2 linked regions of the Arabidopsis thaliana genome follow. The protein of the gene in region 2 interacts with the protein of the main gene of each other region in a biochemical or structural test. Each region holds a gene or a part of one and is shown on either strand. Other genes may lie near its edges. The genes, in order: BIN2 and AT4G39680.

Region 1 (5,835 bases), 8.1 Mb from region 2:
GCCTCTGGAAAGAAAATCAATTCTATAATACTTCAATAACTTTTTAGTAAAACTAACTGGATCAACTGATGAATCATATATCAAAAAAACAAAAAAAAAAACTAACGGAGGTAGACAATAGTTTAGCTGGAATGCTTGAAGAAATGGCAAGAATATGCTTCGAGAAGTTATGATTTATGAAGAGGTTACCTGCAAATTTTTTCATTTCTTTTTGCCGACGGTTGGCTGTTAGTTAGGAAAAAGAATTTTTGTTATAGGATTTTCTCTTCCGTTTCGTACAAACCCAATCATTATTCTCGTCTTTATACTTAACTTTGCCTCTCATTTTCATGTTATCAATCTTTTAAATTAAATATATCGTCAATGACTGTTATGAATAATTAGTTCTTCATTCTCTGCCTTGGTTCGAACCTCAGTCACATGGTGCACGTTATTGTGATTTCCCATACCTCAAGAGTTATTCAAGATCCCTTACAGAAATATATTTATATAATCTTTTATCTAATGTAGTTATTTACAAACATGTATTATCTACCAAAATAAAAAGGGCTAAAAGCTTCTTGAGTGAGACCGCTTTTGGTTCGATTCATTTTCCTACACTCCAATAGTATTACACTATTGTATATAACAAGAATCGTGGGATTTGTTTAATCCGTACAATGAAACAAGAAAGATATACAATAACTTAATATCATTTTTTTTTGGGGACAATCTTAATATCATTTCTAATTTCTATAGAACCAAAAACACTCATAACAACTTAAACTTTGTTTTTTGTGAGAAAAATAACAACTTAATTACTAGTTACTACATTGACAATTTAACATCTTCAGCTAAAACCGAATGTATATGAACATTTATAATCTAGTTGCTATTGTATATACGATTGGATAATACGCATATCGACATTTAAATAATTGAGCCTGAAGATAATTCACAAATATGCAATGTAAATCCGTCCATACAGCCAAAAGTATGTATGTCCCATGCATAATTGAACAAAAAGAAATTATATTAATATTATTTTTGTTGTCTTCTGCAAATGCTAGGACTGCTATCATTATCATCATTGATTTTAATATTGATGTTTCCAGAAAAATAAATAAACAAATATAAAGAAAAAAACAAACACAATAAGTAAAGCTACACTATTAGGTAATAATTAAAGCTCATTTTTAAGTCTAAAATTTTAATTATAAAATAAAAACATTAAAAAGTTAAGACCCAAAGAAACATAAATGCTTTTTTCTTTCATCAATGTCAAAAAAGAAGTTTTCCCACCAAATGGTCAAACTTGGATCTTTGACAATATTGTTCCAATTTCATCATGCCCTATCTTTTCTATTTATACACATACCTTAGATATAATTATTAAACCCAAAATTTGTGTTAAGAAAAAAAATAGACCCAAAATTTGTGTTAAGAAAAAAAATAGACCCAAAATTTGGAATATATATATAAGTCACCGCTGGAAAAAAAATTATTGCAAGTAATTTCTTATATGAAATTGGAATGATAATATTTTGATCAAGTATCCATTACTAAAATTTTACAACGCTAGATAACGAGATTGCTTGAAGTCGAACTTGTGAACAAATTATAATAATGTAAAACTAACTTGTATTGACTAATCTTTGATTTTTTTTACAATAATGAGTGATATTACATTCATTTTATTAACTAAATACAACGAATATGATAAATATTCAGTCCTCTTATAAACTTTATGATAGTGAAAATTTGAGACATTGACAATTCTAGCATTCTAACATTTTATGAGATTACATGAAATGTCAATTTAGACCTTAAACCAAACGAATACATGATTCAAATTTGACCGACAAGTACATGATGCCTTCCCTTTGATCACGAAATTTCCACAAAGAGTCCGTGTCTGCGTAATTAACCAGCAATTTCAAGGGTGTTTACGTAATTGTAGCTTAACAAATAAAAAACACGAAAGAAGATGGCGAAGAAAACGGAAAGTAGTAGATAGATAAAGAAAGAGAAAGAGAAGAGCTGGATTCACATGGTCTTGTTCTTTCTCTCTCCTTCTTTTCTCATCTTGCGGCTTCCCTTTCTCTCTCTATCGCCACAATGATCATTACCAACCAAACTGATTGAAACTCATTTGTTCTCTCTCTCTCAAATCCACTCTCTCTCTTTCTTTTCTCTTCTCCTCTCTGTGTCTCTATCGCCATGGCTGATGATAAGGTAAAGCTGCTTGTGTTCCTTTTGCTGTCTTTTGAAGAAGAAGATCCTGTTTTTTGGTTTTTCCACATTTGACCCTTCAATTAGTTGTCTTGAGATTCCTGTTCTTACAGATGTTTTGTGATAATAAATCTAGTTTAGTTAGTACTCTTGAAGTTGAACGGTTTTGAGTTCTGGGTTTGTCCAAAGTTTTGAGCTTTCGTTAACTTTTTGACTTACCCTGAGATCTCTGAGGGTTTTGAGTTCTGAGCTTAGAATTTTCTAAGTTAGCTCTGTTGGGATGATCCATGTCTATATATCTCGATCTGTGATTAATCCAGAGTTTATACAAGCTGCTAGATCCATAATTGAACATAGATTAGTCCTTGTTTGGTTTGTTATATGTATTTGTTTTGTTTACCATTCTTTTGGCGTGACAAAAGTATATATTTTTAGTTTTAACTAAATCAGATTCACTCTGCGTAACGGTTATTTTGTAACCACTCTTTTAGGATAAAAGTTTCCTTCTTTAGACTTTTGATTCTCAGACAAGCATTATTCTTTTAGCTTTTGATAATGGTTTTGTGCTGATATTAAAGCTTTTCTCTTTCAGGAGATGCCTGCTGCTGTAGTTGATGGACATGATCAAGTCACTGGTCATATTATTTCCACCACAATCGGTGGCAAAAATGGTGAACCAAAACAGGTATTTTTAAGGCTTTTAACCAAATAGACTCACTTTTATGTATATGCAAGATTTTGATGGTTACCAATACATTTTTCTATGTTGTTGTTAGACAATTAGTTACATGGCGGAGCGAGTTGTTGGTACAGGCTCGTTCGGGATCGTTTTCCAAGCAAAATGTTTGGAGACTGGAGAAACCGTGGCGATAAAGAAGGTTTTGCAAGATAGAAGATACAAGAACCGAGAACTTCAGTTGATGCGTGTGATGGATCATCCGAATGTGGTTTGTTTGAAGCATTGCTTCTTTTCGACTACAAGTAAAGACGAGCTTTTCTTGAACTTGGTTATGGAGTATGTCCCTGAGAGCTTGTATCGAGTTCTGAAACATTATAGTAGTGCAAACCAAAGAATGCCTCTTGTCTATGTTAAACTTTACATGTATCAGGTAATAACAACACACATTCATATCTTCCATTTCCAAAGTTGATGTACATAAGATTGTTCTTAGGCTGATATTACTTCCTTTTGTTATGTTAGATCTTCCGGGGACTTGCTTACATTCACAATGTTGCTGGAGTTTGTCACAGAGATCTAAAGCCTCAAAATCTTCTGGTATGTGTAACATTTTAAGATTGAACTCTTTGTTTTTTTTCTTGCCTTTGTTTCTTTCGTTCTTAATGTATCTCTTCTGGTCTCTTTCTATAGGTTGATCCTCTTACTCATCAAGTCAAAATCTGTGACTTTGGCAGTGCGAAACAGCTCGTAAGACTTTGTGACATATAAACTCATTCGACTTGTAGCGGTTGTTGTTTTCTGTGATCTTGTCATTTACTGTTGAAATTTACTTTTGCTTCAGGTTAAAGGTGAAGCCAACATTTCTTACATCTGCTCACGATTCTACCGTGCACCCGAGCTCATATTTGGTGCCACTGAGTACACAACTTCTATTGATATCTGGTCTGCTGGTTGTGTTCTTGCTGAGCTTCTTCTTGGTCAGGTAAACAATTCTTTCAGTAACCAGCTTATTCAATCTCCATGTGTATATTTGCATTAGGACTCATTGTGACTATATCATGTTCTTATGCAGCCATTATTTCCCGGAGAAAATGCTGTGGATCAGCTCGTTGAAATTATAAAAGTAAGAATCTTTAAACGATGATTCCTTGCAAATTACATTCTTTGGCTACAAAATCCTCACTGTATAGTTGTTGTACACAGGTTCTTGGTACACCAACTCGAGAAGAAATCCGTTGTATGAATCCACATTACACAGATTTCAGGTTTCCACAGATAAAGGCACATCCCTGGCACAAGGTTAGTGTCTTTTCTCTTTTTGCATGTGTTCTTGTTTCAGTTTCTTTCTTCACACATCAACTGATCATAATTACGTTTTGGTTTAGATCTTCCACAAAAGGATGCCCCCAGAAGCGATTGATTTTGCATCAAGGCTGCTTCAATACTCTCCAAGTCTAAGATGCACAGCGGTAAGCATTGGTCTTGAGGTTTCTTCAGTCTCTAAGAATCCAACTGAATCCTTACTATATATTTTGTTTCCTCGTATTTCAGCTCGAAGCTTGTGCACATCCGTTCTTTGATGAACTCAGAGAACCAAACGCTCGTTTACCAAATGGACGGCCTTTCCCGCCTCTCTTCAACTTCAAACAAGAAGTAGCTGGATCATCACCTGAACTGGTCAACAAGTTGATTCCAGACCATATCAAGAGACAATTGGGTCTAAGCTTCTTGAATCAATCTGGAACTTAAAAGGGATCCTGCAAAAGACAACTACTTTTTTATATATAATGTACCATTACACGAGCCACAAGGTCGTAGTTGAAGGCAAACGTGGAGGACACAATTCAAAGTTTTTCCTCCTCAAACTCGTTCAGACAAAGCCAGCTGCTAGCAAAACCAACTCCCCCAAATCTGCGAAAACAAAAACTCTCCAGTGTTGTATCTGCTTATTTCTCTTCTCTTTTCAAGTTTGGTGAAAAACACAGTCTCCTCTTTGCTTCATTTCTTCTTTCTTTCCCCCTTATGTAAATGAGTTTAGTCAGAAGTTTTTTTATATAGTAAAGTTTGGGCAGAAGGTGAAGAATGTAATCAAAGTGATACTCTTTCAACGAGGAGCTTCTTTCAAACACTTTTTTTTTTTTTCAAACACTTCATGAATGGATACATGGTTTTGCTTTAAGCATAAGTATATTTGTATTAAATTTTCACTCAATTTAATTGCACGAATCATTACAAAAATAATATCTCGCTACTCATATAAATACCCTATAAATAAATAAGTGAATTTTTTTTATCTCTCATGGAAATTTGATTTATGTATTTATATGTTTTAAGATTCGAAGAAATTTTTAAATAATGAAAATTTACAAATATATAATTCTTAATTCAGAATTTCAGATATTGAATTACTTATTGGATTTTTAAAACAAAAAGAAAATTACATGACTTTTTTTTTCTTTTTTTTTTTTAAATATCTGTTAGTTCAAGTTAAAAGACCATACATTTTCTAAAGGCGGGACCTATATCAGGTTAAATTCATCTCCTTTTAGAAAAAAAATATATTTGGGAAAGGCTTTGATAGCAAGCAATTAAAGTATCCGAAACTAACAAAACCTATCTGGTCTTGGACTCTTAGTCTTTATATAAACAACATCAGATAGATCGAGAGACCATACGCAACAATTTACTAATTTCTCTTCTCCTTCGTTGCTTTTGAAACCCTAGTTATTATCGAGAGATCAAACACGTACGTACACAAAAGACCGATCAAACAGAGAAGGATGCAGAAGCGTGAGTTCATGGAGTTGTTCGAGGCAGCACTTAGAGCGGCTAAGTCTGTGAAAGGTGATGAGAATTCTCCAGAGGTATCGAGGTTTGTCGATGCCATGAATCGTTTGAAGGAAGCACCCAAGTCACTTGTTTGTGACGTGGTCTGCAAAACCTCC
Region 2 (5,652 bases):
GAGATGTGAATGTATTGGACCATAGTTTGTGCCGCTGGTATAAGAGCCGCCCTTAAAGCGAAAGCCACAAACTAGATAAAACCTCCCCCTATAAGTAATTTCTAAATGAATCATTATTAATAATATGTGTAAATTTGTGGAACAACCGACTCCCCATAGTTTAATCACCTAAGACATCAAGGCTATCAAAGAGAGAAATATATTAATTAAGAGCGGCAATGAAATCGTAGAAACCTCTATAAATAGGCACTCTTCTACAAACTCAACCTTCACTTCGAAAATCTTAACCACATCTTATTCTTAACACATTTATTTTGTTAACCAACACTAAAAAGTAATGTCGTCCATTGGAGCAAGTTACGCACACCTACAAGTCATGCAGAAGAAGCAGAAGGAGAAGATGAAAAAGCTAGAAAAGGAGAGAAACTTCGACCACGATGAAGCTCATAGACTCCCTGTCGAAACATCTTTTGCGTCCGGAAGGATTTCTAATAAAATCTATCCTTCTCGTTTGTCTTATGAACAAGTAGAGTTCAAATCACAAAAGTGAAGTTCAAAGTAATGAAATTCTTGAAAAGGATCTTCAGAGCCTTCTCTCCCAAGTATTTGTCCTTTGTGTTTGCATGTAATTATGTATGTATGTGTGATGTGTCTAAAACGTATCTTGGTCGTCTTTGTAGTTTTGTGAAAGTGTACAATTTGTGTGTTTATGTTATCAAGTGTTAAAAGGTTATTCCATTGACACACGCCCATTACTAGGTTTGACACATGATCTAAAAGTAAGTTGCAAGATTTGAAATTTGGTAATATTGGGCTGCTATTACTTTATTTTTGACCCAACAATTGTTCATAGATCCATGAAAAGGTAAAAGAAGAAATGGAGAGGAAAAGATCTAACACACAGAGAGCCAAACAACTCTGTTAGTTCATCACAGGTTCAAACCAAAGTCTACTAAACATAAGAAGAGTCTTCCCATCCGTTCTACATTAAAAATAACAAACCAAACTCAACAGAGTACTCAACTTTTGTCCGCACTGAGCTAAATTCCTAAGAGCCTGCTACGAAAACAATGACCTGAAATTCCCAAGAACCAGCAAGATCACTTGTTATTATTCGCTGCAAGTTTAGCTGCAACTTGCTCCTCTGACAAGGGTAAGTAATATATCCTGGGGATCGCTTTTGTCTTCTTGAATAGATCATCAAGAGTGACAATGGGAGGTTCTTGTTCCTCAGGGGCTATAGGAGGAGGGGGAGGCAGAGGAAGACGTTCTACAACGTGAGGTGGTTTGGCCAGAGGTGGTGGTGGTGGAAGAGCAGTTGGAGGTGGCCGCGAAAGAGTCTGAGCTTGTGGCTGATGCTGAGGCTGAGGAGGCAGAGGAGCTTCCAGTTTTTCTTTTACTTCTTCTGCTCTAACAAATTCAGCTATCAGATGGCGGCCTCCATTAGGTGGCCACTGGAGGTTATACACTGCTTCTCTTGTTGCTGCTGCTTCTTCAACCGAGGGATACTGCAGTCACGTCACAACTCACTCATGTTACACAAAATTCTTTGGATATTTAGATAATTGAATTCGAAAGTACACAAACAGAATCAACATTTTTGTAAATCAAAAGGATTTGAAGAAGCGGTCTTACCGATACATAGCAGTGGGTCTTAATGTGGTCCATCCAGAAACTAGTGACATTTCCGGTTTTACCCAGGAGCTCCTGAACAGCTTTCAGTGTGAACGGCCTAAGGAAACGGTCAATCCTGAGGGAATTTGTAGGCTCCTTTGGAGATGGAGGAACTGCCAATAAATATTGAACACATCTATCAAACAAAGCTTTAAGACAATGAATAAGAGATGGAAACATACATAGAGGGGGTGCTGTATTACATACCCACACGTTCCTTGGGTCCATCTTCACTAACCGAAGAGTCAGACCTTGAGAAGTCGCGCTTCAGACCAGTCGACCTTGGTGTTGTAGTGGGTGTAGCACTATTAGTGATCTGTGCTTCAGGAACTTTAATACTATTAGAGTTCCATCGGCGCCTCTTTGCAGGTTCATTGTTTCCAACAGCTTCTTGATCTACATTGAGTTACAAAGAAAGACATTTCAGCATACATAGCTAGAATTTCAAAACAGATGCTTCAAAAGCCAATATATATAAGAAGTAGCCATAAACGACAAAGATGAAACAACTATTAAACACTACCAGTATATGCCTCAAACACCAACATTACAGATTAAACACAGTAAAAGATTTGATTAATAAAACAAATGAATATGAGAGGAATTACCATTAGCAGGAAGCTTTCTTTTGTCAGAAGCCACCAGTGGGTGACTTTTATTTTCAGGGGATTTCCCTTTCCCCGCATCCATATCAGCACGGCTTTCCTCCTTAGAAAGCATTTCAATTTTTGCACTCTTATCATCAGATGTAATTGACTCGGATTGCTTTGTCTCCGGCTCATCCTCCATAGACTCATCACCAGAACTTCTATCTAAATTCAACTTTTCTGAGTCGCCTGCATCGATAATATTATTTTCTTTGATCATATCTGCGTTTGCAGCATTGCTGTCATCCCCACCTCCAACAGATGTCTTCTGCTCAAGTGGCTCCTCGACATCCATTGGATGCGATTCGCCAACGACTGTTGATGGCTCTTGGAACTTATTAACATTTTGTTCTAATTTGACATTATCAGCAATTTTGTTATCCTTTAGTTCTATTTTTTCATTATTTGACACAGAATCAGTAGAAATACAATCAGATTTTACCTCAAACCCTGTAACGGGGATGACCTCAGATACCTGGTTGTACATAGCAGATTTTTCAAGCACTGCCTCTGATGGTTGAGCCTTAGAATCCCCACCATCCAACCCACTAAATGGTTCATTATTCTCAGATTTGTGCTCACTAGACGCCACTTGCACAACTGCTGCATCACGTGCAACCACTGAACTATCAAGACCAGCTATGTCTCTAACATCATCAACTTTCTCTTTCTCATCTTCATCACTAGCGAATGGCACAGCGTTAACCTCTGGTTCTGAAAACACCGGGGCTGGTGTAGTCTCAACACCAGCTGAAGCTTCAGTTGTTATCTTGGTCTGAGTTGGTTCTGGGGTTTTCTCAGCTGTAACAGGAGTTGTCTCAGTGCTAAATGCCGCTTCAACAGGAGTAACAGGAGTGGTTTGATTACGATCACCTACAGTAACAGGAAACATCTGAGGCTCTTGATTGGCTTTTTCAGCAGCAGCAACAGTAGCACTATTGATCCTTTCAGACTCTTCTTGCTCAGCACGAAGTGCTTCATCAAGACGCCTAACCAATTCCTCCTTCAAGCCTCTTGTTGTTAGTCTCCGTCTTTTAAGCTCTTCTTTCAATTCCGTAACCTTCCACTTATCAATTGGTCGGTTGTCCAAGACTGGAAAAGGCGATGACGACATCTTAGCTTATGAGAGAGCTGATTCTGAAAAAATATTGAATATAAAATTAGAGAAACCCATCGCAGAGGACAAAACCTAAATCAGACAAATTAGCAAAGCAACGCAGCAAATCTATATAATTTAAAACCAAAGCTTAAATCTTTAACAAACCCAATCCAAAAGAGCTAGAAGTTTAAAGATGACTTACAACAAAATGGCTTGAAACTTCCTCTGATGGGTAAAAGAAGGCAGGAAAAATGTAAAACCCTAAATTCGTAGCATAAGAAGAATGAAACAATTAGAGAGACAAGACAACAATCAAAACCCAGTACGGAAGATTACAAATTTATCAAATTTCCGACTCAAAATAGATTCTTCAACACCAGATTTTACTCTCTTAAGACGAAGAAGAAAAAGAAGAACGCAAACCTTAAAAACGAAATCCAGAAGCAATGGAACGGAGAGAGAGTGACCTTTGGTTGAAGAATTCTAATCGAGAATGAAAGATAAAGCGGACATTGGGAATTTTTCTATCCCGTCATTACAAAAATTGGGAATTTTGGAAAGAGGAGGCGAATTCTAGGGTTCTTGTTCGTCGAGTGGTTTTGATATTGGGGAAAAACTCGAGGACCTGAAGTGATAATGGGTCGCATTGTATTGTGAAATGTCTAAATTACCCTTTTTCTCAAGTAATTTTGTACGGCGTCGTTTCAATGCTTTTGGGGTTTTCAGAGAATACTATTATTTTACTCACCGGAGGCTCCGAGTCTTCTCCGTCCGTCGTAACATCTTCGCTCTCTCGTTCGGCGTTTGTATCACCAGAGACGCGACGCGATAATGCTTCGGAAGTATGTTTCCTGAACCCTAAGTTTATTATCTCAATCCATCTTGTTGAATTTTGGCTTCTCTTGTTCCATCAATCTCGTTGCGTAGCTTTCGGGTCTGATTTTATTGATTCCTCTAAATTGAGAGCTATTTGTGACTTTGATTCTCTTGTGAATCATACCGAATGTGGTTTATGTTGTTGCTCTTTTGCTTAGGTCGGTTCTCGAGCTGTCTTCTCGTTTGTCAATAAAGAGATTCCCGAGGAATTTGGGAGCTCAGGTGAGTTATGAATTTAGTTGTGATTCTTAGTTAGCGTCTTGTGAGTACTCTCTTGGATTGATTGTGTTATGTTATGCATCAGAGGTTTCATTTGAGCTCTTCGAGAAATGCATCTACATCTGGTAAAAATGGTCTCCCTGGAGCTAAACCCGTTGGGAAACCAGATGCCTCAAAAGTTGATCCTCCAAAAGTGACTCCTCCTCCTCCTACTAAAGGAAATTCTTCAAAAGTGGTTATAGGAGGTGTTGCAATCGCTGGGGCTTTTCTGGTAGCGTATCAGACTGGCTATTTGGATCAATATCTGGGGAAAGAACAGCAGAAATTAAGTGAGCGAATTCATTCTGATGCTCTAACTGAAAAGCTGGAGGAGGCTCATCATTTGAATGTACCTTCCGGTGTTGAAGATTCTACTGAAAAAGATGGAAAAGTTGAAACGCAACCTCAAGTTACTCATTCTGAAGCTTCCGAGGGAGTGCAGAGTGACATAGAACTGCAACCCGAGTCTGATCTATCATCTGACCGTTTTACATATATTTCTTCTAACCAAGAGGAGACACCTCAAGAAACTGTCATTGATAGAGCAGAGATAAACTTGCCTATTTCTGCATCTGAAGATTCAGGAGCTAAGCCGGACATGCCATCAGAAATTATTTCTGAGGCAGAAAGTGTGAAGTTGGAAGCTGTACCCAAACCTGGGGATAGTCCTATTATTGTTAATGCCCAGTCTAGTTCGGTTCATAGAGAAAGCGAAACGGAATCTGCTTCACCAAAGGATCCTGCCGCTCTAAAGACACCTGAGGTACTAAAATTTCCTTTGCTGAACTTGAAAAAGAACTACAAGTAATGAAATGAATAGCTTACAGATTTAAAAATCAGAAGATGAATGTCTCAGTATTCCTTGTTTCATGAAATTTTTCTTGTCTCGTCCTTTTCCTGCATTGGACCAGAATGCTTGTATTTTGAAAGGGGATACACCTATGTAAAGGGATTCTGCTACATTGTTGGAGTTAAAAGCACTCCTTTGTTTTGTGCAAATTCTTATTATATTGGTTGAAATGGGATATTCATATGGACATTATGTTAACTGTCCTGAATCAAATTCTGATAGAAACTGATTTTTTAAGAAGGAATGTA

The links.
Region 1: of the proteins of AT4G39680 (region 2) and BIN2, one has a biochemical effect on the other in vitro, tested with the Arabidopsis thaliana proteins (one study listed by BioGRID).

The regions. Positions count from the first base shown.
Region 1 is NC_003075.7:10,294,275-10,300,109, forward strand, and holds BIN2 (Protein kinase superfamily protein), read left to right. Parts: upstream 1-1,863; 5' UTR 1,864-2,199; coding exon 2,200-2,214; intron 2,215-2,251; exon of another isoform or gene 2,252-2,803; coding exon 2,804-2,896; intron 2,897-2,987; coding exon 2,988-3,320; intron 3,321-3,412; coding exon 3,413-3,487; intron 3,488-3,580; coding exon 3,581-3,637; intron 3,638-3,731; coding exon 3,732-3,872; intron 3,873-3,962; coding exon 3,963-4,013; intron 4,014-4,093; coding exon 4,094-4,189; intron 4,190-4,275; coding exon 4,276-4,359; intron 4,360-4,441; coding exon 4,442-4,639; 3' UTR 4,640-5,115; downstream 5,116-5,835. Other genes in the region: AT4G18720 (Transcription factor IIS protein), read left to right, coding at 5,671-5,835. UniProt on the Arabidopsis thaliana protein: Negative regulator in brassinosteroid signal transduction pathway important for plant growth. May be also involved in auxin signaling pathway. Phosphorylates and increases the degradation of BZR1 and BZR2/BES1 by the proteasome.
Region 2 is NC_003075.7:18,413,504-18,419,155, forward strand, and holds AT4G39680 (SAP domain-containing protein), read right to left. Parts: upstream 4,106-5,652; 5' UTR 3,844-4,105; intron 3,682-3,843; 5' UTR 3,623-3,681; intron 3,459-3,622; 5' UTR 3,436-3,458; coding exon 2,283-3,435; intron 2,071-2,282; coding exon 1,882-2,070; intron 1,788-1,881; coding exon 1,636-1,787; intron 1,509-1,635; coding exon 1,101-1,508; 3' UTR 803-1,100; downstream 1-802. Other genes in the region: AT4G39675 (uncharacterized protein), read left to right, coding at 338-550; AT4G39690 (MICOS complex subunit), read left to right, coding at 4,252-4,262, 4,455-4,518, 4,601-5,317.